Pelodiscus sinensis: one gene and its partner. The protein of the gene in region 2 interacts with the protein of the main gene of each other region in a biochemical or structural test. Links are inferred from orthologs where the notes say so. Each region holds a gene or a part of one and is shown on either strand. Other genes may lie near its edges.

Evidence for each region.
Region 1: of the proteins of dual specificity tyrosine-phosphorylation-regulated kinase 1B (region 2) and HNF1A, one has a biochemical effect on the other in vitro, tested with the Homo sapiens proteins (2 studies listed by IntAct, with this or other methods). The link is inferred for Pelodiscus sinensis from reciprocal best matches to the Homo sapiens genes DYRK1B and HNF1A.

Annotation. Positions count from the first base shown.
Region 1 is NC_134725.1:8,511,148-8,522,275, forward strand, and holds the start of HNF1A (hepatocyte nuclear factor 1-alpha), read right to left. Parts: upstream 5,122-11,128; 5' UTR 5,050-5,121; coding exon of another isoform or gene 5,027-5,049; intron 4,356-5,026; 5' UTR 4,284-4,355; coding exon 3,949-4,283; intron 1-3,948. Other genes in the region: C15H12orf43 (protein CUSTOS), read left to right, coding at 6,148-6,586. UniProt on the Homo sapiens protein: Transcriptional activator that regulates the tissue specific expression of multiple genes, especially in pancreatic islet cells and in liver. Binds to the inverted palindrome 5'-GTTAATNATTAAC-3'.
Region 2 is NC_134734.1:4,822,401-4,832,774, forward strand, and holds the start of dual specificity tyrosine-phosphorylation-regulated kinase 1B, read right to left. Parts: upstream 4,012-10,374; 5' UTR 3,997-4,011; coding exon 3,681-3,996; intron 1-3,680. Other genes in the region: FBL (rRNA 2'-O-methyltransferase fibrillarin), read right to left, coding at 4,882-4,906, 6,008-6,153, 6,707-6,819, 7,274-7,406, 7,600-7,770, 8,001-8,095, 8,434-8,610, 9,036-9,110 and 1 more.

The DNA of each region.
Region 1 (11,128 bases), on a different chromosome or scaffold from region 2:
TCCAGTCCTTTCTATTGAAGACTGCTAGACAACTATCACCGGTTTCAAGGCACAGACTGGACCTGAGGTAGGCAGTGAGCAGGGAAGGTAAGACTAGCCTCTGCAGGGTTGTTTTCTGTTTGAATTTTGCTTGGTTTGCCTTAGTTTGGCCTATGCAATCATATGCTAAAATAGAAGGGGTGCTTGTAGCTTTATCGCAGGGCTCCTCAGAAACCAGCTCTCCCTGGGGGTAAGGGATGGGCCTTTTACCTCCGTATTCCCCTTTGTCCTCTTCAGAAAATATGCCCCTTCCCCAGGCTCCAGTGGAAATCTTCTTATCTCAACCTCCCTCTTTCCCTATGGAATTTTACCCTTTGCCCAGAGGTAAAAATGGCTACACCTGCCCACAGGTTACAGCAACTCTTACCCTGACGTTGGCTGCACACCAATTGAAGTCTGCTCCTTCTCCTGTCCCTCACTAAAGACAATCTGTATTCTCTCTTCTCCATAAGGAACAGCTAATAATTTCCCTATAGTCTCCCCTCTCCCAAGTGAATACATTTACTATTGACTTGCTACCACACCTCCAGCACTGTCCTTTGTTGGTGTGAACGGAGGCATTTTCAAAAGCACCTACATTATTAGGACTGTGAGTCCCATGCAAGAGCAATGAGACTTGTACTCCTGAATCACTGTGGTATGTTTGAAAATCCCATCCCTCTTCTCTGTCCTGAGATTCTTGGTGTAGTGGGTGAAGGACTGGGGACCCTAGTTCCTTACTAAGGAAGCCTCCCTGTGTACCGTATTTTCAGAGTATTTTGTAGAGGCATAGGATAATGGACTCTAGCAAGTAAACTTAGAGCTATGTAATAAAGGGAAATTACTTCCATACCAGATGTACTCAGTGTAATACAGTGTTTCACAAACTGTGCTTTGCAGAATCTCTAGTGTGGTTCAAAGTGCACATACTAATGGTCTGCAGAAAGGTTACTGGTCATGCTGTGCCTTTTCTCCTTGTTCCCAGGCAGTACATCTCTACATCAAAAGCACAGAAATACATTAAACACTTTTCTGGGTGACTTTCCCATGTAGGCAAGTAAATTAGTGTGACCATGAACAGAAAGAGATGGTGTCCATGAGACAATTTTTTGAGTAAGATGTAGTCTACCATAATAGTCCGAAAAGTACTAATAACATGGGAAGAGGTTTCTGTGCTTTCAAAGTGCCTTGGTTCGTCCTATGTATTCGAAAACCACAAAATGGTGTGCTCCGATATTTCAGCAACCATGAATTTACAAACACAGAAGCTCTGTTCTGCAGCCATTGTGTCTGGTAAAACAGTGCTGGTCACCTTCCTTGTGCCTCATCTGGTGGGAGGTGATTTCTATAATCCACCATTTTGCACAACTATAGTATATACATTTATTGACTTGTTACCTTCCTTCCAGTCCTGTTCTGTTGGTGAGTGAATTGAGGCATTTTAACACCTGCATTATTTATATACAATACAAAACATTATTTTATTTATTTTAAGAACATACCCATCAGACCTTCTTTTATTAAAAGAAGATTTCTTTCCTGAAAGGTTGTCAGCCATCACTTGCCTATTATCAGTCTCTGATATCGACCCAGAAGAGGTTTTTTATTTATTTCCCAAAATACACAATCACTTTTAAAAATTGTAGAAAATAGCAGAGATTCTTATCAGACCTGTCTACTTGCTGCCCCCATTTCAGAAATGTCTCATGGGTTTGCATCAATATGCTTCCTCCCTTGTGGTTAAGACACAGGACCAGGTTCCAAAAGATTCTGGTTCTATTCCTAGCCCTTCCACCAACTTCCCATGTAACCATGAGTAAGGCAATTAAGCACTCTGTGCCTCAGTTAACTCGTGTAAACGAGGATGATTTCTCAATTTCCCTTTTCATAAGGAGTTTTGAGATCCTCCACTAGAAAATGCTGAAGACGTGCAAAGCATGGCTGTAGAAATGGGGGATAGAAATTAGTTCTGTGTTGAAACCAACAGCAACCACACAGGGCTACTGGGAAGATGGTAAAGATCAGAAACCAGAGTTTATGCCAACGTGAAGGGAGTTACGGTGGTAAAGGACCACACTGGATCACCAGCTCCAGAACAGGAATTCCCCCCAGTTGTGAAATTCTCTTTACCAGAGCTTAATAGATGGTGTTTAATTCCTCCTTCATCCCTTCATTAAACAGGGGCTAAAGCCAAGAGCTTCTGACTTCCATGGTTTTCTCTATGGAGAGGCACCTGATAAATCATCAGAAGTTAATGATCAAAAAGCTTATCAGGGTCTTTTCGTTTATAAATTTATAAGACAAAAGAGAAATAATAAAGCCATTGGATAATTAGTAACTAGCCAGGGCCCGCCCGGTGCAACTGGCGCTCCAACTGCCCCAGGATCTGTACTCAGGCTTAGGGAGAAGAGGGAGAGGAGACAGAGAAGAACAATGTAAAAGAGAGAGACACACAGAGACAGACAGACTTAGAAATAGGGTGATGAGAGACAGGAGAAGGGGAAGAATAGGAAAGGAGGACCAAAGGAAAACCGATACAGGACAGGGGAGTTGGGAACAGTAGGGGTATCAGAAGGAGGAAGAGGGACGGATAGAAAAGGCAGGGCAGTGAAAGGAGACTGGATGGATGGAACTGAATGGAAAAGAAGACTGAATTATAGGGAGCATCTTTCATCTCAGGTAAGAGCCAGTGTATTTTCTTCCTTAAGCTCCTGTAATGTGATCCGTTCCAAATCTGCCCAGACTCTCTAGAGGCCAGGCAATAGAACCATATCCTCTTAATGTTACAGTGAATACTAACTTTTAAGTACTGTGCTATATCTACATCTTCGGTCTACTGCTGGGGTTTTGTATGTACTTTTTGTTGTGGGTGAAGGGTTTTTTTTTTGGTATTAATATCCTTTCCCCATAAAAAGGAGTGGGTACAAAGCTGAGAGAGCCTCTGACTAGAATTTAATTTTCCCAGAAAAGATTGTGAGTAGCAGTTTGATTTTCCAGGACATTGTAGTCACCCTGTGCCTCCTGTTTGCTCCTAATCTTGGAGAGCAGCTTCAGGGCAGACATCTGAGATTGTGTTAGGTGGGTTTGAAGGGCAAGATCTTAAATCCTTGCTCATGCAGACTACCCATCGGAATCTCTTAGATTCATGTCGCTGAGTCGGAATTGCAGGAGCACAATTCTGGTTCTGTCTGTGGACTTACCGGGCGTTATTGGTTCAGGGAGCTCAAACTTTTAAGAACAAATAATTGCATGTTAAGGCAACTCATAAAATAGTCTTTAGCTCGCAGGCTTGTCAGTGTTCAGTGTTCATGATGGGAGATGGAGGCTAAAAAGCATTGGATAATATTAACTTGGATTGCCAGTCAGTTTGGCATGCATCTGAAATTCCCATTGCAATCAATGAGAGTCTTACATGCACAAACGCATGAAGATCAGCAGTCTTACAAATACTTGACTCTAGCTAACATCAGTAAAATAAAAATGTACATCTTGGTAAAAATGGCAAGAGAACTTAGGAATATTTTTCCTTCCTGTGGTGAAAAGTCCCACGCTCCATGATGGCGGTTAGTATGCCACCCAGATATTTGCACGCTTCCTTTTTATTTATATTTTCCTAACAACTGAAATGGTGGATTCTGAAAAAACGGGCATGCAGCTAATGAGACAGAACTTGTGCACCTCCCTTTTTGAAGTCCTTGTTTCCCAGATGAGAGGATCAATTTTAATATGTGATCGGGCTGTGTGGCTCTTTGTGTGTACATTATAAAGGAACATGAACCTTGTCAGTTCAGGAAGGTTTGGGGGCTGGCACTGATGGGGAGAATTTCTGATCAGCTGTGAACATCAAGGCATTTCATGGAAGAGGTGAAGGAAAGAGGGTGAAAAAAATAAATGAAGGACAAGAAGGGGAAAGGAAAGCCATGTCCTTACTGTAAGAGTCTCTCCACCACAGCCTTCTGGTGAGCAGCCTCCTCTGGACTCAGGTTTTCCAGCTCCTTCATTATTGGAGGGGTGAATTCCTCCCCATCATCAGAGGTTTCCTCTTCGGACATTCTGGATTCCTCCATCCCGTTGGGAAGATGAGGGATTTCAGCACAGGGCTCCCCTTTCTCGGCCTGAATGGCATTGATGGCTCGCTGGCTTTCACTCTGGAGGTTGTAGGGGTCCACTTCCCCGAGCGCTTTGATCAGGGTCTCCTTGGTTAGCCCTGACTCCAGCAGTGCTCCTAGCAGCTCCACCTGAAGATGACTCAGCTTAGAGACCATGGTCTTCAGTCTGGTATCCGTTGGATTTGAGTTTCAGAACGTTCTGCCGTCAGCCTTCCCTACACCATGTTCCTGAGGTAACACGACCCACTGTCAGTGGAGTGGGAATGGCACAGACTCCCGCCTTTGCACCCCCCCAAAAAAAAAACAAAATATAAAAGTGAGCCACTTAGACCCCCCACGACTGTCCTGAGCCAGTGCTGATAAAGGGACCCTTGGCTATCTGTTTACATTGGAGCAGTGTAAATTCTCCAAGGTTCATATTTATCCGTGTGCTTAGCAAGTTACTGAACTTTGGACTTCAGCACTGCAGCAGCAGTTCACAAAGTGCAGAGAGCGGGGGAGGGGGAAGGGTAGGGAGGAAGAAGAGAGAAGGAGAGCAAAAGCAATGGCCAGGGAAAAAGCCAGGATGGGAGACAGACAGAAGAGAGAAACGGAAAGAAAATGGAACAAGAACGTGAGCTGAGGTGTCTGACTGGTTCTTGGCCCTATTGGCTTAAGTCAAGAACAGGGATACGCTCCAGGAGCCAAAAGCATGAGGCTCAGCCCCACAAAACCCTTTGAGTTGGGAATTAGCAGCTTCAGCAGCTCAGCCAATCTGTGCTGTGTGCACCCCAAGCATCAAGTACAACCTCTGGACTTACTCTCATATTCCCAGATCTCCCAGAGGGCTCCCATTGACTTTGTGGTACATGCAGAGGCACTACATGGTATCTGAGCCAGTTCCCCATATTGACACTTACCTGTCCCCATTTGTCTTCTTCATAACCTACTGCCTTTATTATTCATTTGCTGAGTGCTCAGAGAATGTGCTCACTTTATAAAGGGGACATGGGGCCTGCCTCATTGAATTTATAATCTAAGTAGGCAAACAAAATAAACATGCAAGCTGTGTTCTGGGTATTGGTGCACGGCTAGAGGTTCCTGGCTTGCGTACAATTGCTCCTCCTCTCCCTATGAGTGCCACCCACAGTGACTTCATTTATCAACACTGTACTTCTGTCCCTGTTGAAACTAACCTGCTTTAGGGAGCTACTCCTAACTGTTGGATCTTTCTTAAACGACTTGTGCTAATTAATCCCAAAAGATATAGGCTTGATGCAGGAATCACTTGGCCAAACTCTCTGGCCACTCTTGTACTGGAAGTCAGATAAGTCGCTGTCCCTTTTCATCTCCACATCTGGGAGTTAACGTGTCTACTCTGACTGGCTAACAAGGTGTATCTAAAATGATCAACTTGTAATAGTCTAATTTCCCAATGTTGATTTTATAGCTTGTACCATCTCAATCGGGAAGTGATGGTTGTTTCCTGTGCGGGATCAGAGAGGGGAAAATTTTGACAATAATGTTTTACTGAGGGTTCTCTATAGAGTCACTCCATCACACAACTGCCCCCCATTTATAGGCTCTCCTCTAAGGCCCAAGCTGAGGAAGGCTGGATGGAGCTTCCTGCACAGCCCAAGGACTGGCAAAAGATGCTGCTACACTGTGACCTTAGACTCTCCCTTCCCTTTGGGGGCTTCCCAAGCTTCATTCCATAGAGTTCATGCTTGTTGAGTCAGCAAAAGACAAAGCTCCTCGTCAAACTGGATCCCTATGATGACAACACAACAAGCAGGGCCACTTGTAGGGGGGATGGGCCAGGAAGATGGTTGCCCTTACCCAGGGTTTTGGTGGCTATTTTACTCCATTCTGCTGATTGGCCATCTGTTTTAATGGTGTTTGTTTCCTCTGGCCACTGTAGAAAGATTTTTCTGCCCTGACCAGCAAAACTCCTAGGGCTGCTCCTAACAACAGATTATCAGTGGATTGCTGGCTCAGCCCCTCAGCAGGGATTTTCACTAATGGTTTTCCTTTGTTTCAGATGGATTCTGCTCCAGAGAGCACCTCCTCCTCTTGGCACAGTGCAGAAGAGAGAAGTGAATGTGGCACACTGGACATCTTGGAACCCAGCCTCACATTCACCAGTCAGTAGTCTGAGCCTTAGTTGTAAGTTTGGAAAACTTTCATTTTCATTACAAAAGCCAGCTGTGATGCATACAGCTACGAAACTGCCACCCTTTGTTTTCTGTGTGCTGCACCTTTATGATTCTAGGAACATGCTGTGCGGAGACAAGAGCCACAGTGGTCCCAGAGTTGCTGCAGCATGTTACATTGGAGATTCCTGCACGTTGTGCTCTTATCGCTGTTCTTTCCTTAATGTGGTGGTTTCCTTAATCTTAAATAAATCATTCAGACTGAATGTGAATTTTTACTTTAAGAATGTTTGTATTTGTTGTCTCTCAAGCATACAACAAAAATAAATAGCAGATTGGACAGAATCTAGAGAAAGGAAGTTTGCATTCTGTGGGTGGAAGATTTTAGAGGGAGACATCTAACATTTCTATCTGATCTAAGGGGTTCATCATTTATTTAGCAAAAAATAGAGAAGTAATTATTTTATTTAAATTACAGTACTGATTTGGTATGAAGGTACGTGCTTTCTCTTTGTACGTAGAAAAATACAGAACATTCATCAAAAGGACTCCTTCAGGTTAAAAATGAGAATTTTTTTTGCACGTGGTTACATTTTATCTAAAACCTGAAATAATTTCTTAGAGTTTAAGGTCGGAAGGGACTTAGTCTGGCTGCCTGTCTATCACAGACCACTGACTAGCACCCACACACTAAACCCACCCACAAAAATGTGATCAAAGCATTAGGATCCAGGGACATCCTTAGGGTGTATGGGGCCTTATGCAGCACTGTTAATCTGGTGTCCTTTTGCCCAACAACAGCACAGGGGAGGAAGGAGGATGATTTTTTAGAGATGTGATTTTACAATCTTGAGAGACACACCAATGACATTTTTAAAGCAATGTTTAAACCAAGGCCCTGTAGAGTAACACACATAAATTCAGAAACTGACAGTATTTACTGGGGATTGGCAAATGCCTATTAAATGGCTTCATTACCAATTGAAATGTCTCTTTCACAGATAGAACATTCTTCTGAAAGGTGTTTCACTTCTTAATTAACTAGATCAGGGCTACTCCACACGTGGCCTGTTTGTTTGCAGCCCTTGGTGCCGTTTGGGTTTATGTGGGGCTCAACATGTGGCCCACAGGAGGGAGCCAAAACAAAATAGTTGTCAATATAATGGTCTTCTGTTGATCTGTGTTTTAGTAGTTAAATTCCTAGACTGTCATTGCTCATTAAAAGTGCTGTCAGATGGGTAGAAATGGAGTAATACTGCATTTTATTCATATCAGCAGAACTGACTTAAATGGAGTCTTGAGTGTTGTGTAGTCTTGTCTTAATCTTTGTATTCATGCCTGTCAGTGTGACAGAAGCTATTTGCATATATTTGCATGTATAGGCAACCACACTTAAGCTGAGGCCTTCGGCATGTGCTGTGAGCGTCTTTGTGGCCCACGGGGCTTCCAAAGTTGAGTAGCCCGGAACTAGATCGCCTCTGAAGGAAGCAGAGCCACAGAATAGGGATAAGAAGAGGTGGATGGTGGATATAAAGACCCAGTGGTGCCCCAAATTTTCAAGTGCCCCATGCAACTGTGTATTCTACATATGGGTAAGGATGGTGCTGTTAGCTTCCATAGAAATCTAGGCTTTTGTGCTACAGAGAATAGAAAGGTACATCATGGCAGGAAAATGATTAAATTACATATATCCAGATAATCCTGGGAAGTGACATACTGCAGAGGTGGGCAGAACACGGACATAGTTACGCCTCATCTGACCTATGGGAAAAATCCTTCCTGCCCCAACCACTGCCCCGCCACTCTCATTGGCTGGGAATGTGGCCAATAGAACTGTGGGAGGCAGCACCTTCAAACGGGCAGCGCACAGAGCCTCCTGCCAGCGCCTTTGTATAGGAGCTGGGTGGGGAGTCGCTTCTGCTTCTGAGAGCAGCTGTAGGTAAGTGCCATCCAGAGTCTGCACTCCTGAGCCCAGCTCCCCTGCCCTAGCCCTGATTCCCCTCCTGCCTTCTGAACCCTTTGAATTAGCGTTTTGCTAATTCGAACTAGCAAGTCCACATTGAGTGGACCCTGAACAGGGCTTAAGGATGGCCGGAAGCAGTGCCGGCAGGGCATCAGAGGAGGACATAGAGCGTGGAGATGCTGTCTCAGGCTAGCTGAGGGCTGCGCTTAAAGGGTCCCGACCCCCACCCCGGACAGACAGTTCTAAGGGGTGCTCCGCTTGCAAAGCAGACCTGGCTTGGATTGCCCGGAGTACTGGGCACTGGCCACACTGGGCACATCACACCACTCGGCCATCAGCCCGGCTGCACTTGCCGCAGGCTGCCATCTGGGGAGAGGGGGCAATTGGGGGGCTGCAGGAGAGCTTCCACCCCCAGAAGCCCGCAGAGCCAGCCCAGTCCTCCCCATCGGGGGCGCGTACCCCATTCCTCCCTCACCTCCTTCCACTTACCCTTCCCTAGCCCCCCTTCCTGATGTACAAAATAAAGATAACGTTTCTTCCAACATTGACTCTGTCTTTATTGAACAAAACTGGGGGAGACTGGGAAAAGGAGGTGGGAGAGGGGAAGAGAAAGGCTGGGAGAGGGGAGGGCAACTAAAATGATCAGGGGTTGGGAACAGGTCCCAGATGAAGAGAGGCTACAGAGACTGGGACTGTTCAGCTTAGAAAAGAGGAGATGGAGCGGGGACAGGATAGAGGTCTCTAAATGCAGGGGTTGGGTGGAGAGGGTGCATTCAGAAAAGTTCTTCATGAGTTCCCATAAAAAAGGACTAGAGGACACCAAAGGAAAGGAATGGGTAGCAGGCTTCAAACTAGTAAGAGAAAGTTGTTGTTCTTCACAAAGCAAATAGTTAACCTGCGGAACTCCTTGCTGCAGGAGGCTGTGAAGGCTACAACTAGAACAGAGTTTAAAGGGAAGTGAGATCAAGTCATGGAGGTTGGGTCCATGGAGTAGTCTTAGCCAGGGGGTAGGAGTGGTGTCCCTGCCCAAAGTTTGTGGAAGGCTGGAGAGGGAAGGCACGAGACAAATGGCTTGGTCACTGTCTTTGGTCCATCCCCTCCAGGGTTCCTAGGGTTGGCCACTGTCGGCAGACAGGCTACTGGGCTAGATGGACCTTTGGTCTGACCCAGGACGGCCATTGTAAGCTCAGGGCTCAGGGTCAGGGGTCTCAGTGGACCCCCTTGATTTTCATGCACACCTGCTCCTGGGTGGCCAGGCTGGCAGCTCTCCTGCCCTAGCCGGCCACTTTCCTGTGCCTAGTGCGGAGATCGTGGACGAGGTCCACTATGTCCGCAGTAGCCCAGGAAGGTGCCCGCCTCTTGCGGTCCAGGGCAAGCTCCCGGGAGCCGCCAGCCTGGTCCCGGGAAGAGGGGGTGGGCTGGGGGACATCGGGTGGGTGGCGCTGTGCCGTGCCAGGTGCAGGGTCTGCTGGCTGGGTGCTGGCAGGCTTGCACCTGGCACGGGCACTGTAGCCAGCCCGTGCCCCTTTAAGAGGTCCGGGGCCGGGAGGGGGGCATAGAGTTTCCCTGGTGTTGGCCAGAGTGGCCACCAGGGAAACCTGGGGAGGGCTAGCCTCCCACTAGTTCGAATTAAGGGGCTACACACCCCTTAATTCGAACTAGTAAGTTCGAACTAGGCTTAATCCTCGTAAAATGAGGTTTTCCTAGTTCGAACTAAGCGCTCCGCTAGTTCGATTCAAATTCGAACTAGCGGAGCGCTAGTGTAGCGGCTATGAATGTTAGTTCGAACTAACATCCGTTAGTTCGAACTAACATTGTAGTGTAGACATACCCCATATGAGTAACAGTAATTCAGCCAATCACTCGAGAAAGAGAATGGTTAAAGCTGGTGCCACCTCAGAGCTCTGGCCCGCTCCACTGATGTCTCATCTCCAGCTTTGGTCCCCCCAATGCTTTACAGGAAGGAGGTTAAAAAAAAATCCACCCAGAATATACTGAGGGGGAAAAAATCCCTTCCTGGCCTGATCCCTGTCGCTTGCCAGCTGTCCAATGATCTGCTCTGGTTGAGGTTTGGAGTAGAGTTGGTGGGGTCTGACTCTTGAGCAACCGATATCCATTACATATTCATCAAGGCAAAGGTGATTGTGACCCACAATCTTTAAATATGCAGGAGACAGCACAGGAATAAAGAGTAAGCAATGTTTTGGGGAAACTCCCTGTTTTCTGGTGAAAAAAGGTGATGACCAGCCTCTCTGAATGGCTACCATAGAGCACAGTCCTAGAATATTGTCCAGAGAGCATAATTTGGGGGTACAGCTCACATTTCTCAGGGATAGATAAAATTATCACAGTTGCATCCATTTGGCCAGTTGAAGGGGGAGATACTGTAGCAATTAGTCCCTCTTAGTAGACTTCACACATGCAGCATTTATCAGTTTGGACGCAGACTAGGAGGAAAGTGTAAACTGGCCATTGGCATTTTAGCCACTGGTGAGATCTTCTGAAAGGGTATAATTTAGTCCCCCACAACTTTATTAATTTTTTTCACAGATAATGTGATGTGCATTTTATATTTTTGTGACGAGGGGAAGATTAATTTTACAGTGATTGAGACCATTAAAAATACCTTATCTTTGAAGGATTGAAAAAGTCTACTGCTCATTTATGAATACATTTGGGATTTATGTTAAAGTCCTGCTCTATCTCATCATACCATGAAGACGGCAGTTCCCCATTTGATTATGAATTATTCTATGTAGTTATATTTAAGACATGAACATTACTCTGTCACGTGTAAAATGCCTAGTGTAGTATTATGTTTTTATTAGAGTGTGCACTTCTGTGTGTACTGTAATGACCTCATTATTCTGTGCAGCACACAGAGTTATCTTCTGTATTACACAACA
Region 2 (10,374 bases):
AACTTATGCAGCTCACACAACAGGATCTGAGCATGCCACCTTTTCTAAAGCCTCACAAGGCCATTATCCACATGATGCAGACGGGGAAACTGAAGCATTCAGAAGCTAAGTGACTTGCCCAAGGCCACACAGGAAGTATGTGGAGGAGAAGGGAACTAAACCTGGGTCTCCCAAGTCCTCGGCTATTGCTCTAACCACTGGGATGCCTGTCCTCTCAGAGCTGGAAATTCTAGCAATTCCCCAGTATCAAGTAAGGCGAACCCCAGACTGCTGCCTCCCACTCTGAGACAGAAAGATCCCCTTCCAGCTAAGCCTTAACGTGAACAGATACCCAGCCACTGTTGTTCCAGGAGTCCCTTCCTTCTACTGCTGAGGAAACAGGGAAGGGGAAAATAGTGGCCATACCACTGGGGGAACCAGTAGGAAAGATGGGGACAGATCCACTGGGTGAGAGGATGAGGAGAAGAACTGGCAGAGGGCAGGCACACAGAGTAGGAAAGAGAGAAATGGCAGGGGGCTGGCCCATGAGCAGGGGAGGGAAATGAACACTCAAGATGACATCAAGGCCTTAAGTTCTGGAGCAGCTGGGACAGAACAATGGCAAACCCAGCAAGGCCCAGGGAAGGGAGATGCCCTGAGACCAGGGCCCAGCCATGAGATGTAGGCTCTCCAGGGATGCCACATGGCTGACAAAGTAGAGGTGCCCAGTCAGGATCCAAACACAGCGGAGGTGCCCGGAATGGAACCAAACACAGTCTTCTGCTCTCCCCACTTCCCTGGGAACAACACTGTTCAAATTGCTCTGCTAGGGAACAAACTAGAATGAGGTGGGTGTGGATGTGGGTGAAATTACCCGGAAAAAGCACCAATGGCCATGGCCTCTTCCAACATCTGTGCTGCTACAATGGGGCCCACCAGCCCCAGAATCACATTTCTTTTTGACACTGGGAAATGAGGTCTTCACCACCCATTTCTATCAGGCGACTCTATGGACAACTGGAGAACTGGCAGGTGTGTGACTGCGCAGACCCTCAGGTACACTGGAGTTCTGACAACAGAAGGCAGCTTACGTTGACCTAAGTGTTAAGTGTTTAAACTAAAGTGTAGCTCCCACCGATGTAACTCACCCACTATGCCGACTTAACTCCACCTCCGCAATAGGTGTGGCACTTAGGCCAATATAGTTAAATTAATGCAGTGTCAGAGCAGATGTGGTACTGCCTACATCAACTGCTGCTGCCTTTCAGAAACCATCTCACATGTCCTCACACCAGCAGTTAAATTGAGGAAAACATTCCTGGGGAGGATGCATACCACCAACACAAGAAGTATAGCATGGCCACGTAACATTGATTCAGTTACTGCAGTACACTGACATAATTCAGGTGGACTTAATTCAGTAGCATAAACATGCCCTCAATAATGGAAACCAAGAGTAGGCCTACTCGTAAAAAGTTATAGCATGTCAAAGAAAGAGTGTCTCCCACTGGCATAGTTAACCCACCTCCATGAAAGGCAGTAGCTACACTAGGGGTTAGATCAGTATATCTGTCTTGCTCAGGGCCATGGATTTTTCACATCCTTGAAATATCCTAGTTATGCCAATGTAAGTTATAATGTAGGGTTGGCCTCGTTAAGAGATTGTCAGTCAGACTTAAAACCTCAGCTTTTGCTTGTACCAATTTCATCCAGACACACCTCCATACAGATCCCCTCCATTCCAGACCTTAACTAGCCACATATCCATACCACAATCCCTGTTCAAACTCGGATCCTCCCAACCCAGATCTGTATCACTCCAATGCAGATACCCCCACAATGCACTGAGTGAAAACACCACACACATCACAGATACAAATACCCCTGTAAAGTGCAGGCCTCACCACAGACACAATCATAAACACATAACAGCAGCAAAAACTCCACCCAGACCAAGATCACCCATCACCTTGCAAAGCTTGCAGAGGGAGTGAAAGTAGGGCAGATAGGCCCAGGGGGTGATACCTGAAGACGATGTAGGGCTAGGGTAGGAAAGGGTTGTCAGGATTAGACAGGGAACTGAGATGGGAGGGATTCCAGGTTCTCAGAAGTGGGAAGGGAGCCAGGTTCCTTGGAGTGGAACAGGAATGGGCTGCACATTTTGGGGGGGATGAGAGAGCACAGGTTGGGACAGGGCCATAACCAACATGTAAGAGGAGATTTCTAGGAGGTGCCATTTAAAATCAAGAGTACCACCCCAGTAGTAAATGAGGGCAACATAGTGAAGGGATCTAAGGGGAGATGGTATCAGAAGAAAGTTTCTGGGTGGCACCAGATAAGAGAGCCCAGTTTCCAGTCAGTACCAAAAGAGAGGGAGTTTGCTTTTGGAGAGGGTGACAAATGTAACAGGTTTCTCAGGCACCAGGAATACGCAGGTGGGATCAGGGTTAACATGAAAGATGTACAGGAAGATATTGAGGGGGTGAAAAAAAGCAGTGAGTAGATTCCAAATTGTTCTCAAGTATGGGCATGAGCATTCCCAGGCAGGTATCGGAGTGTGAGGCTGGGGTTCCCAAGGGGGAATTTTTCAGGTGACATTTGTTGATGACAATGCATTGTGAGAGAAGATAAGGCTAGTGTTCCCAGAGACCTGGAGGAGCCGGATTGACAAGGGGCAGATTCAGGAGCAGCTACAGCAAGCAGGAGGCTATGGAGAAGGGGGAGTTGTTTCCTGGGCAGTGGGTTCCATAGCAATTGCAGTAGGGCAGCAAAGGATTGCTTTCTATGTGATGGTATCTAGTGCCAGGTACAAATACAGTGGGCCAGGGACAAGAGGGAAGGGGCTCACTTTCTTTATGATGGTTACCAGGGCAAGTAGAGCAAGGCAGCAGTGGGTTGGTTCCTAGGCAAGTGCAACATTATGGGGGGAGGTCAGTTCCTAGGTCATGATTTCTGAGGCAGGTTAGATCTAAGGAGTCAGTTCCCAGGAATGAAGATTAAGAGCATGTACAGTAGGGCAGTTTGGGGAGTCAAGGTAAGGAGAAAGGAGTCAGTTTACAAGAGTCCTCTGAGTTGTTCCAGACAGATGAAGCTCCAGGCAGAGAGCAGGAATCCTGGCTGGTCAAACCTGTGGCACTGACCATGGCAGTCGAGTGTACAGGTGGGGAATTAAGGGTCGATGTGGGCCCACCCACAGCTGTGGCCCTGCCAGATAGTTAGGGTTCCTGGTGGAGCGAGGAGAAGGGGCAAGGGCAGGGGTCACACGGGCAGGACGCAGGCAAAAGGGGGCGGGAACAGCAGTGGATCTCCAGCCAAGCAGGGTAGGGGCGAGGGCCAGGCCCATCTCACTGTGCAGCTTCCCTGACAGGCGAGGGGGATTCAAGGTGGCACCGGCCCCGGAGCCCAAGAGCAAACGGCCCCCCGCTATTTCTCTGCTGAGCTTTCCCCTGGGACTCCCCTGCCCCGCCCGCGGCACCTGCGCCCCCCCGTCCTGTCAGGGCAGCTGCCAGGGATGAGGCGGGCCCGGCCAAGGGGATGGGCCGCGGCCGGGCGGGAAGTCGGGACTCCCAGGCCGGATCGAGCCGGGGGAAGGAAGCGGGCCCCGGGGGAGCCGGATGGGGCGCCGGGCGGAGCCGGCCGGGCCGGGCCGGAGGATGCGGGGCTGGGGCGGGTCCCAGGCTCGGGGGAGGGGCCGGGCTCACCTGCGGCAGCGGCCCTGGCGGAGGACTCTGGCGCGCCCGGCCCGGCGCGGGCGGAGGCAGATCCCGGTCCCGGCCCGCTGCGGGCGGCGCCCCCCGGCGGCGGGTCCCGGTCCGGTCCGGCGGCTCCTGCGCGCGCCCCGGGATTTCCCAGTAATGCAACAAAAAATGGCGACCACAACAAACCGCCGCCGCCGCCAGGGCACCGCGCATGCGCCGCGCCGGCCGCCCACGTGATCCGGGCCAAGCAGAGTGGCGTGCGCACGCGCGTGCGGCCGACAGCCCACGTGACGAGACCGACCAGAAGGAATCTACGCATGCGCGCTAGGCAGAGGCGCGTGACCAGTGGAATGAAACGCGCACGGCAGAGGCGCCGTTTGATGGGGTCATCAATTATCGCCAACGGTATTGCCTCATTGGCGCTGAAATACCATGTGATCACTCCGGGTGGTGCGCAGGCGTTGTTCCCACCCCCCAGGCACGCGCCACTATGTGACGTTTCTCCCGTACGCAAAGCTCAGGAACCTGCAAGGAAGGAGAGCGCCAACTTCGCATGCGCATCTCCAGCCAATCAGGGGATTCGACCAGCAGCCCCACTATTTCTGAAGGGCTTCTACCCTCACCGTGGGGGGCGGGGGAGCCAGAACCCTCCCGCTCCATGGCCCCTCCCCTTCAGTAAAGGCCATGCGCACCGACCTAGACCCCACCCTGGCCCATTCCTCCAATTCACCTCCCAGTATCCCCCCCCCCCCCCCACCTTGGAGCTCTACCACTGCCTGGCAACTCCCCATCCCCTGCAGAGCAATCCCGCCCGCAGCCCCCCGCCCCCCCCATCCCGGGGCACTGCCAGCCCCCCCCCCCCATCACTCTTTGGAGAAATGAGGAACAGAGCCCTGGCTTCCCCAAACCCCACCCGTCCCCAGCAGGCAGAGCTTCCACAAGAGCCACAGGAGACAGGGTGTGACCTATGCGTGTGAACTGCCTGCCCAGCACACACAAGCCTGCCGCTGCCATTTTCTCACATTTTAATAAAAATACATCTTCAAAAAAATTCACAAAGAATACAAATGAGTCCTGGGGGAAAAGAAGGGTGGGCAGTGAGAGGAACCCACAGCCACGAAGCACACCCAGACCCAAGGCAAGAAGAGCCAGCATACGATGGGATCCAGCCTGGGGCCTGGTGACAAGGAGCTCCACAGAGATACTACTTCTTCTGTTTGGGGGGAGGTCTGGAAGAGAAAGGTAAGGGTAAGACCCATCCCCCAAAGAGAGCAGCCCCACAGGTCCAGGCCTTTACACCTCCATGCACATTAGGGATGCCGGCTATCGTGTAACTGAATAGTCATATCTGCATAAAGCCTTAGCGGTTACAGGACTATTCGACAGCCCCTGGGGCTGGCTGTATCAGAGGCAGCAGAGTGAAGTGGGCAGGAGGGAGCTAGTTTAAAAAACGAGCTCCACATGCAGACCAGCTGCCTACCACCTTGCACTGCTGCCTTTGATACAGAGGCATCAGCTTGGCAATGTCCACAAGCGGTCTGAGCTCCCTGCAAACAGAGGCTGCTGCTGCAGACCAGCCTCTGTCCACAGTGGGGCCAGGCTCACCATGGACAAAGGCTGCTCCAAGGGATGCAGAGCGGCCTCCACCTGCAGTGAGCTCGGACCCCTTCATGGACAGGGACTGATGCTGCAGACCAGCCTCTCTCTGTGGCAAGCCTGGGCCGCCGTGGACACAGGCTGCTTTGCACCAGCCTCCTCTCCCCACACCCATCTCCTGCTGCCTCTGATAGATGCAGTAGCAGGAGGGGTGGGGAGGCAGGTGGTACTGTGGAGACTGCCCCCCCCCCCCCTCGCTGCCTCTGCAAGAGGCAGCCAGAGGAATGGGGCAGGTGGATCCACAGAGCGGCCACAAACCGGGAGCCTGCTTGAAAGCTAGCTCCCCATATGTAATGGCTCTAGCCTGCCCCCCTCACCCTCCATGCTGGTGCCTCTATATCAAAGGCAGCAGTGCTGGGGCAAAAGGGCTGAGAGATCCGGTGTGCGTGGGGAGCCTGTTTAAACCTAGCTCCTTGCAGGCACTGTCTCCCGCTCCCCTCCCTGCTTGCAACCTCTGATACAGAGGCAGTTGGGGGAGGGGGAGAGAGATGTCATTGACAAGATTAACTGATAAGCTCAGGTTTACTGGTTTATCATGTAGTTGACTACACACTGACATCCCTAATGCACATTCCCATCGGGGATATATGGACATATCCCAACCCCTCTGCTGGGCAAACCCAGCCATTCTTTCCTCCCACCCTCACAATCTCTCAGCATTGTTACTACTATACCTGTAAATTCCCACCACCACAGCATGGTCTCGCTCGTAGGGCTCCAGTGTCAGCTGCTCCTGGGGTTTCATGTTCTCCTGTTGCATCTTCTTCACCTCGGAGGCGAAGACCGCCTCAGGAGCCGCTGTAGAGTCAATGCAGTTGGCCTGGAAGGAAGCATTGTGCAGTTAAGCAACTTTCCCCTCCAATGCAAATGGTTCTGTCACTAGATATCCCCTCCCAATGCTGAAAGTCACCTCCCTGGCAGTCCTGAACCTGCCCCACAGCTGAGACCCCTCCTCCAGGGACACAGGGTGGCCAATAGTTGAGGGACCAGCACCACCCCAAGAGATCCAAAAGGTTTTCTCCACAAGAGACAACCTCAGTGTGTGGCACCTGCAGGCAAAGGGATCTAACATGGGCCAGAGGACCCACTGCCCCTCCCCCCCAAAATAAATCCAAAGCCATAGGGACTAGCCAAAGCCTAGAGGTTACAGAAGAGCCAGAGCAGTTGGCCCACAGAACCCCGATAAAGGACCCTAACACATGAGTGTGCAGTGCAGGGCAGCTTCCCTGTCCTTGTGCAGCACCTTGCACACCAGATCCCCCATTCCTGGCTGGTTCTTGAGGACTACTGCACTGAGATCGAGGACTCAACAGCTCACGGGTCCCAGTCCTGGGGCCCACGGAGGGGCAGCAGCCAGGTTCCACTGCTCTTACCTTAATGGAGATGACGAAGTGCCCGCCATTCTTCAGGAAATTGTGAGCGTTCAGGGCCACAATGCGGGACTGGTCAGGCTGAGCCACATCGGCAAAGATCACGTCCACCATCCCTGCAGGGAGAAGAGGCTGGTTTAAATGCCAGCCTCCACCATTCCCTCACACAGGGGCAGATCCAGCCCCTGCCCAAGCCCCCCCACCACAACACCTCATGATCCAGCCTGAGCACAAGGAGCCTCCAGCTACTCAAGAGCCACCCAACCAGCAGCTGCAGAGAGGCACCACATTGCCTCCGCCCCCACCGTGCAAATGGGCATTATCAGCCCAGACCTTGTGCACGGCAGTGAGCCTCACTTGGTAGCTCCCCCAGTGCAGGGAAGCCATTCTGTGGGAGGGGTCCACAGGACATCGTGCATGGTGGGAGACCCCTTGCTTTGTAGCGTGCTCTCCTCCCATCCCCGCCTCTCCTGGGCCATGCTAACGTAATTTCTCTCAGTAGGGGCTGGGAACGACAGGGGATCCTTGGTCTGTAGACTGACCCCTGCCCAGGAAGCCCAGAGCCCTCACCGATCAGCATGCGATACTTGTGCGGATGCCGCGCATCCTCGATGACGGGGATGATGTTGGTGCGTTTCTTCGCCACATTGATGAGGTCACGGCCGGAGCGATGGGAGAACTCCACAGCATAGACCAGGCCTTCCTGGGTGGGGTAAAAAACCATGGTCAGCCATCTCCCCCAAGGGCAGAGCAGCTTTTCTTCCCATTCTCCCCTCCCCCCACAATGCAATCAGGCACTGCCTTCTCTCAGCACAGCTGAGTCATACTCACTAGACACTTCGTCCCTGCCCCCACCCCCATCCTCTTCAGACCCAGGCCCAACAGCAGCTCCTTACCGGCCCCACGATGTCGGAGACATGTGAGACTGTGGTTCCAGAAGCAGCTCCCAGGTACAGGACCTTGGCTCCCGGCTTGATGTGGATTTGATCAATGCCACCTAGGATGGCTGCTGCCAGCTTGGAGCGGAAAGGGTTCCAGGCACGGTACTCTATCTTCAGCTCACCGTCCTGCAGAGAGAGCAGCAGGGTCAAAGCTCAGCTCAGCTCCCCCGGGGCTGTTAACTGGCTGCGAGCATGCTCCACTGTGGCAGTCGCCCCAACCCTAATACCCTTCCTGCTGGGGTAGTGTCCCTCTAGAAACATGGGAGCTGCCTTAACAGGCTGGCACCATCCCACCCCTGAGTCCTGGGGCAGCCAGTGCTGCCCAGAATTTCCCCCATTACCACAAGGCCGCCTACCTCCACAGAGATCCTCTTCTCTCCATACACAGACTCGCCGGGCACCAGATTCTTCGTCACCAGCGCATCCTCCTTCCCCCTGCAGATGAAGACGCCTGGGTGGAAGGAGGAAACGGATGGGAAGCTGTCAGAACAGGGACAACCCTCTTCCCAAGTCTAAGGAGAGCAGGGGGAACATTCCCTGCTATGGGAAGGAGTCAATTGCCCTTGCAAATCATAAAGGGATCACAGCAGGGCTGCCAAGCCATGGATCAGCCATGTAACCTCCCATACACAGTGCCTCCAACACTGGATAGCAATCCACCCCAGCTGTGCCCTGATCAATCCAACATCTAGCAGTGAATCCCAGCGCTGTCCAGTCCAGGCAGACCACCTTGGCCACAACACCTCACTGCTCCCAGGAGACAGCACTATTTTGTCCCATGCTGGTTACCTTCATGCCTGTGGGGCTCCACCGTCACCTTCTTGCCTCCTTTAAACCCTCCTCGGCCGCCCCGGCCTCCTCCACCGCGGCCTCCTCGGCCTGGCCCGCCTCGTCCACGGAAACCACCGCCACCTCCTCTTCCTCGGAAGCCTCCATCACTCCCACCCGGAGATTTAAACCCACCACCTACAAGGGAGAGAAGAGATGGAGTAGAAGCACATTGGCCCTGTGCCATTGTCCCCGCCCTGCATGGAAAGCAGAGGGGCAGAGCAGCTGTTCACTTTGGGACAAGATATGAAGGCGGGGATCCAGTGTCCCTGAGATCACGAGGGGAAATAACCCAGGCAGGGGTTGGACCATGGCACACTGATGGAGCTGGGACAGGATGTGCTGTCCACACAGCAACACAGCCCAAAGTCAATGGCCACTGAACTGAGGTGCGGTGGGAGCAAAATTCTCCCAGTATTCACTGGACAGGAAGGTCTCCAACAGTGGGTGTTGCCTGGGACCGAGGGGAGAGGGGGAGGTGCAGCACACAGGTGCTCAGTCGTAACCACAAAGCCCTCCCCTCCCCAACACAGCGATGCCACTGGGGCACAGAGAGCACTTACCTCGGCCTCCTCGGAAGCCCCCTCGGCCTCTTCCACGGTCCCCAAACCCACCGCGCCCTCCACGGGGACTGAAACCTGCAACCAGGAGAGAGTTAGAGACCACACCCCACCATGACCCTCCACCCACACCATAGAGAGAGAGAGCGGCCTGAACCCGAACACCACTCCCCACCATTGCTCTCCCACCATGGATACAGCCCCACCCCATATCCTTCCTGGTCACCCCATCCCCTTGAATTGATTAACTGGTTAAACATAGGTAAACCAATTAAACGGGGGCAGTGGGAGGGCCTGCCACAGGGCTGGACCTAGAGAAGTAAGGGATCAGTCTATTAGTCAACCAGGGAGTTAACTATTCACATTCCGCTGGCTTAAAAGCCGATTCTCCCCAGCACGGTCTCCGCGGAGGTAGGGGCAGGGGCTTCTGCCGGCTGGGCAGGCAGCCCAGCTCAGCCCCAGTTCACCTCACTGTGTCTTTGCAATTGAAAATGCAGTAGGAATTAGGCAACCTGCCCCCAAGCTCCTACCGCCTTTAAACTGCAGAGACACAGCGGGATTTGGTCCCAACCCTGTACAAACCGGGACTGAGCCAGCTGCCTATTGACTAATCGAGTAGTCGATAGAATTTTTATCGACTACTCAACTGGTTAAATACCCGCTTCTTAACATCCCGAGCTAGAGCAGCCCCCACCATCCCCTGCCCGGGAGGCAGGGACTGCTCCAGCCTGGCCTGCGCAGCCCCCCCTGGTTAACCTTAACTGGTTAAACCTTCACCTCCCTTGTCCCCACCCCAGCACGCTGCTAGCCCGCCTCCCACCTGCCTTTCCACGTCCCTCTATCCCCACTGTCTGCACCTTCTCGGGTGCGCCCCAAAACCTCCACCCACCAGCCCCCATCTAACAGTAAAACCCAAACACGCGCCCCCATCCCACTACCCCCCCAGGCTCCTGTGCAGACACGAGCCCCCCGCAGGGGCACAGAGACCCCCCCCCCTTCCCGCACCTGGACACCCCCCTGGGCCACGCGACCCCCCGCAGCCCGGGCCACGTGACTGCTCCCCACTAAGCACCCCCAGCCCCGGACCCCCCCCCGGGGTCACGGCCCCGCACTGACCTTGTCCCCCCCCCCCGGGGTCATGCCCCCCCAACTGACCCGTCCCCCGGGACACGGCCCCCACTGACTGCCCCTCCCCGCACACGTGGGCCAGCCGCGCTCACCCGGCCTCATGCTACTCGCCCAACGCCGCGAGCCGCCTCACTGCGCAGACACCAGCACCCTGGCCACTGCGCACGCGCAACTCTGCTCCGCCAAGAGCCGCCGCTGCGCATGCCCACAATAA